Linked DNA regions of Arabidopsis thaliana. The protein of the gene in region 1 interacts with the protein of each later gene in a pairwise test. Each region holds a gene or a part of one and is shown in the gene's direction. Other genes may lie near its edges. The genes, in order: bZIP58 and AT1G44830.

The links.
Region 2: the proteins of bZIP58 (region 1) and AT1G44830 interact in a two-hybrid assay, tested with the Arabidopsis thaliana proteins (one large-scale study listed by BioGRID).

What each region holds. Positions count from the first base shown.
Region 1 is NC_003070.9:4,650,064-4,653,724, reverse strand, and holds bZIP58 (basic leucine-zipper 58), read left to right. Parts: upstream 1-2,175; 5' UTR 2,176-2,347; coding exon 2,348-2,938; 3' UTR 2,939-3,119; downstream 3,120-3,661.
Region 2 is NC_003070.9:16,931,535-16,935,153, forward strand, and holds AT1G44830 (Integrase-type DNA-binding superfamily protein), read left to right. Parts: upstream 1-2,164; 5' UTR 2,165-2,257; coding exon 2,258-2,893; 3' UTR 2,894-3,034; downstream 3,035-3,619.

The sequences.
Region 1 (3,661 bases):
AACATAATAGATTAAACATGTTTGGGAATCGAGACCTCTCTCTGGCAATAACTACTAACACTCTAACACAGAGAACGCGAATAGTATGGAAAGGATTACCAAATTTTGTTAAAATTTTCTTTAAGATAGGAATAATGTAGATGTGATTGGAGTTATGTTGATGGACGAATCATATTGCTAAATGCTGAATGGCTTAGTAATTTTAATAGAATAAGGATTTCAGCGGTCAACATTCAAATATAGTAAAAGGCTTGGACTGTTGGAGTGGAAGCTGGATAAAATACATAATTAGCGTTTGGAGACTGTTGATTCATGGTTATTTCTGATTTTTTAATTATTATTATTATTATTATTAATTATGGTTTCCTTCCATTAATTGAAATATATATTGTTCTTTTTTCGAGTCCTTTTGGTAGAATTTTTTTCTTCAAATATTAGAGATTTATTTATCATTTACGTTTTTCTCCAGTTAGGATTTTATAATATTCAAGATTTAGTTACAGTATATATTACTATATTAGTGTTAATTAATTATGATTTAAAATATCTTATGATTACTTTATATATTATTATTGTATGATTAGTGTCTTGAATTGTGTAACAGCCCATGATCTGACCGGACTAACTCGATGACTCCACACCAAAAACTTTTCTAGTTCGTTTTTCGATCTGCATTTGAAAACAATGTAGTATAGGAAGGCATGGACGATGATTTTATTTAAACTTGTTGTATGTTAATTATTAAAAACCACTTTATCTATACAATTATAGAGCGAGAGAGACATGGATTTAGGCGTCTCTTGTTATCTACAATTAAAACTTATCTCATGTCGTTTGATTTATTAATTAAGATCAATAGTGGGAAAACACCTAATTAATTAGTTTTTAAATGGACTTGATTAATGATTACTAGTTCATTTAGGAAACAAATAGGCATTGAAAAGGTATGGAGTAGTTATAGTCTTGTGGATTAGAGCCATATCACTCAATTAACACTCATCGGTCAAGTCTACACAGATCATACTTAATTATGAATGAAAAAAATGTAATTATTGACATTTCTCAGTCATATTTTTTTTTTCGATTTTATGTTTTTTTTTACTACTGGAGATATCACATGGTAGATGCAATGCTTGAAATTAATCTATATTTCAACTTAGTCGCCAATCATAAAAATTAAGACTTCTTGAATTAGAGCAGCAAGTGGAAACCCCACCTTGTTTTCGTTCCTTGAAATTTTCACAAACAATATAATTTTCCATGCCCAATAATTTTTTTTCCAGAAAAAGTGTTTGTTCTTGGTGAAGTGAATTAAGTACGTAAGGAATTACGGCAATATTTGTCTTGTATGATGCATATATTTATTGGCTATGATTAATTAACGGTTACTCACAAACACAAAAGAAAGAAAAAAGAGAGAGATATGATTACTACAGTGGTTTATACAGTAATTTATCTAATACGCGAAAAATATTTATGGTTGGTGATATGACATAAGACAATCATAGCTATTATGCATATTAGCATTATATATTTCAATAGTACTGTTAATTGTGGAGGCAATAGCTATTTCTAGTTAAAAATTGGATTTAAAATGTGTTATACGAAGTTTTCTATATAAATAAATAGCGTTTTATTTTTATTTTATTTAGCCATTTAAATTTATATATGTCATGCAATTGGTAGAGATATATATATATATATATATATATATAAATTTAATACTATTCCATCTGGTAAAGAAGTTTTTGTAATTTGATTATTCATCTCAAGTGACAAAAAGAAGGCAGCCACAAAAAATGCTAGAAAGTTATTGAAACGTGAGCGAACTTTTTCAACTCATATGCAACAAATAAAGTATAAGTTGGCTGAATTTTGGAGACATCTCATAAAACCATCAATCCACCAATCCACCCAAATAAAGTTAGTCCACCTAAACAATATTAACTTTGTGGTTCTACAAAAAAAAACAAAAGAAAAAATAAAATAATCTTAGAAACAATATATTTGTCGTATATATAATCAAGTAGATTATTTTTTTATACCATCATTAATTAATTATATTTATTTATACGAAATCGAGTATTACAAATCATCGTATTAGAACTTTCTGAATGAACTAATCTTTATGTATCTAATATTTTTACTAAAATAATGAATTATATTCAACACCATTTTCTACATAACTTTGCCTCCCTCCTCTATAAAACCCTTAGCCCTCTCTTCCTCTTACTTCAAAACCACTTCACACAACACACAGAACCCTCCCTCTCTAGCTCTAAAAACATCCCACAAACTATCTTTCAACAACACAAGACATATCACGAAACAAATCAAAGCAAAGATCATGAACACGATTCCAGCCGAACTCACTGGATACTTCCACTATCTACCACCAGATAAATATAATAACCAAACACCAATCATGGAGTCTGAGTACTTCAACATGCCCTCTTCTCCTACTTCTTGTTCCTCCTTCTACCACCTCAATGGTCTGATCAACAACAACAACTACTCTTCATCATCCAATGGTCAGGATCTAATGACGAGCAACAACTCAACTTCAGACGAAGATCACCAACAAAGTATGGTCATCGATGAGAGGAAACAAAGGAGAATGATCTCTAACAGGGAATCTGCTCGTAGGTCAAGAATGAGAAAGCAGAGACATCTCGATGAGCTTTGGTCTCAAGTGATAAGACTTCGCACTGATAACCACTGTCTTATGGATAAGCTGAACCGCGTATCTGAAAGCCATGAGCTTGCTTTAAAGGAGAACGCTAAGCTTAAAGAGGAAACTTCTGATCTCAGACAGCTGATCTCTGAGATAAAGTCACACAACGAAGACGACAACAGTTTTTTAAGAGAGCTCGAAGATTCGATATCAAACTCTAGATCGGATTCGAACCAAAGCGGCAGAGATTTTGAGTTGTGTTAATGATCTTGATCATTGTTCTGCTTATGTCAAGACTGTAGATTTCCTAAGGATCATACTATATTATATGATATAATATCATTAATAATGTTATTCTCTATCGAGAAAAAATATTGTTCTTCTATATCTTTTTTTCTTTTAGCCAACTTGAGTTAGTTAAGAATATTAGTGATGATCATGGACGTACGATAAATAGTATATTGTTCTCAATTTAAAGCCTTTTTCAAGCGATAAGTGTCCTAAAAATATGTATGAATCAAAAACCTACAAAACTCAAAATAACATTGAGTCAGTTCCAAAAAGATAAAAAAAAATTAGTTTCACGATCGATGTGAATTAATTCGCACTGGCAGAACAGGTGTTCCAGGTGACATCATTTTTAGTATTAATCAAGTCTGGTCGACATGAAATTTTAGATCAGTTACATGTAACTTTCAAGAGAATACTAAAGTAATGTTTTCGTTGTTTTATTTTATGTCCGTACTTCTCTTTATGTGTTTTTATAAGATTGCAAGAAAGTCTGCCTTAGTTACCAATAAATTTGTTTGTACCAATATGTTGCTGAAAGTTTTTATCAAAAAAAAAGTATATGTTGCTGAATTTCCAGGCGTCGAGTTTTTAATCATAAAATTCAAATGAATGATAAATTTCGATTATCAAAAATATTAAATGTATCGGTTCTTATGACGATATAATACCAAATCTTACTCCCAAAATTTCAGTTCG
Region 2 (3,619 bases), about 12 Mb from region 1:
ACAAAACTTTGTTAAATATTTCTTGTAAGAAAAATATTGATTGATTGATAAGAAAGGTACGGAAGGTCATATATTGAGTACGGTGCCAGGTAAGATTGTCCAAACTACGAATAGGATATTTTTAGTGCAAAAGTACATGCATTATGCATGAATCTTCATTTATGATTCTATTTGTCTATTTCCTCAGGTAGGGTTCGCTCACTATTCTTCGTTAGGTAGCTAGCTTAATTGCTTTAGCTTCTCGGATTTTACCCGATCCGATCACTCAAGCTTTATGACACAATGTAACTCATCTTCTTCTTGTTCTTACACAGTTACACGTATAGCTTCAGACTGTCGAGCTCTAGACACTAAAACAATCAACAAAGAATGTGATTGGGTGAATATGGTGACATTGTGGTGAAAAGAAAATATTTATTGGTAAATAAAAATAAATGTAAAATAGTGAATTAGTTAAATGGTATGAAATGGAGATATCTTTCGGTGAATGAGAATGTTATAGTTGTTTTTAGAAAATAGCAAAGTCATATTGGTAAAATATTGAGAGAAAATGTAAAATGTTTTTTTTCCGTAAATGACTTTGAAAAGTATAATTTATTTGATAAGCTTGGATATACAAATATTTTAACCCGCTAAATAATATAGATATATCCAAAAACATAGATAACATGATTATATGACAAAAACATAAATATGTTTTATAAATTAGATGTCTACATAACGAAAATAATGTAGTAGAGGAAATGTGTTCTACAAGTTGTAGATATAAGAGCCAAAACATATAAAAACTTCATTTTGATAAATTAGATGTGCACATAGAATACTAATGTTAAAGAATTCGTCACGTAAGATTTAGTTATAACTATTATTTTTCTTAAAAGAAAGTAAAATAGTCAAAATTTGAATCATTCTCTTTAGATGGAATTAATTTGATTATTTATTCAAATACCACGTTTGTAATTACAGTCATTGAGTGCAAATATTAATATAAAAATGGTAGAACATTGTTGGTTTTGTTTTATCATAAACTTTTGTAAAATGTTGCCTGCATTTTCCAACGAACAATTCTGTTGATTCGTTTCTTGATATGAATAAAAAACCTTCATTATTGTTATATTATAGTACCCCAAAAGAGAAAAAAGAAATAGAGTCGTCTGGCTAGAACGTGAACACGAATAGATTAGTTTAGTAGTACTCTTACGCGTCTTAATTTAATTCTAGTGCCGACTAAATATAACCGCAGATTAGTTTAGTTAATAAACAGTGCAAGACTATTATGAGGTTTGACGATTTTACTTTAGTTTATTTAGTTAGTAGTACAATATTATTTAATATTACAATGCAGTTTGACAAAAGAATCTGAATTTAATTAATTTAGTAAAAGCCTTTTTACAGAGAGAATTTTACGTGTGACAAGGAGACACAAAGAGCTAGTTAACGCGGTTTTAAAAGTCCCATTAAGACAGAAGAGCACCAGCTCTTGTGCATTACCTTGGTAAACATGACTTCAGCTACTTTAACGTTTAAGATTCTGAATTATGTTTAGGCCTTTTAACCAAAAAAAAAAACTTGTAATTTTTGTATTATATATATATATATATATATATCTATAATCATGCATGTGATTTCATTTTGCATCTCATTTATCAAAATAATTCGATAGTTAAATTATTCTTATGATTAACTTTGTCTTTTGTTTGTACCTTAAAAAATCACATGCTCTTAGCTCCTAGAAGTTGCCTCTAAAAATAGAATCCAATGTTTCCTCTTATAATGTTTTATAACTTTCTGTCGTATCTTGATATTAATATTCTCATATGAGTACTGATTTTTGTTATTTACATTTTTATTCAAGATTCTGAGGCTCAAGAAGTAGTAACTTTTAGTTGTAAACAATAGTGTACTTTTGTGGAACTAAAGAATTAGCTTGGAGCCTTGGAGGTCAAATCAATAAATATGCATTTTTGAAAATAAAAAATAGGGATTCTCTTATTAGTGATCTGTGATTGGGTGTAGCATATGGGATTGTGATTAAGGAAAATCTTTTTTATAAATAAATTAAAAACACCTGTCTCTTACATTATTTAAAAGAAAAGTATTAATCTCTTTGTGTGTGCCCCATGCTACTTTCTTTGACTATGTTCATAGTATTTTTTTTTCTTTTGAGTTCTTTATGTTTCTCTTTCCATTTTTGTTCTCTATAAATAGAAACACACCATTCTTCTCCTCCAACTTCCTCCCTTAATTAGTATCAAAAATGGTGAAAACACTTCAAAAGACACCAAAGAGAATGTCATCTCCATCATCATCATCTTCATCATCCTCATCAACATCATCATCATCCATAAGGATGAAGAAGTACAAGGGAGTGAGAATGAGAAGTTGGGGTTCATGGGTTTCAGAGATCAGAGCTCCTAATCAAAAGACAAGGATCTGGCTTGGTTCTTACTCAACTGCTGAAGCCGCGGCTAGAGCCTACGACGCAGCACTCCTATGTCTTAAAGGATCCTCAGCTAATAATCTCAACTTCCCAGAGATCTCAACTTCTCTCTACCATATTATCAACAATGGTGATAACAACAATGACATGTCCCCTAAGTCTATACAAAGAGTAGCAGCTGCAGCTGCTGCTGCCAACACAGATCCTTCCTCATCATCAGTCTCTACTTCATCTCCATTGCTTTCCTCTCCATCTGAAGATCTCTATGATGTTGTCTCCATGTCACAGTATGACCAACAAGTCTCCTTGTCTGAATCATCATCATGGTACAACTGCTTTGATGGTGATGATCAGTTCATGTTCATTAATGGAGTCTCCGCGCCGTATTTGACAACATCACTTTCTGATGATTTCTTTGAGGAAGGAGATATCAGATTATGGAACTTCTGCTGATTCTACTTTCATTATACCTTATTCTTTGTTTCAATATATATACTTGAGTTATGTAACTTATACAATGTGTTATACATTTTTTTCTTCCCTTTTCTATCAATTCTCACAATGTATGGAACATTTGGGGATCTTTGTACCAATATCTAAATTATTTTTGAAATTAGATATTTTTCATGTTAAGAGTTCACTAAATCTAGTAGTAGTGGTTAAGTATGGAAATAGATTTATAGCTTTTGAACAAAGAACTTCGAATGATAACAAGTTAAAAGGTAAAAACGAAAAAGTACAGAATCATATTGTTGTTGATTAAATTCTGAAACCTAAAAGTTAAGAGTTAGTGTTGAAAACAATCATTTCAGATTTTATAGTATGAATGCAAAATTTGGCGTTACTGACTTTAACACTAACACTGTTTGATGTAAATGTGTACATGATACAAAATAAGTGGTGGTAAGATGACTATGCGATATAAGTACTGTATATATGATTTTTCTTTATTAAGGATATAAAAGTATTAGCTAATGAGTTAAACAGAAAGCAGATTTTTCATGTGAAAAGTTTTGCAAAGTCAAAGAGTAAGAAGCAAGTTTCATGAGGCTTGTCATAGAAGGCGATGATTAATCCTACTTAATTATTGTTGAATAGAGTAAGTGTATAAATATTATTTATTTAGAAGAAAGATAAGGAAAAAGAGAGAAGAGACAAGAGATGCAGAATGGTTTTGTG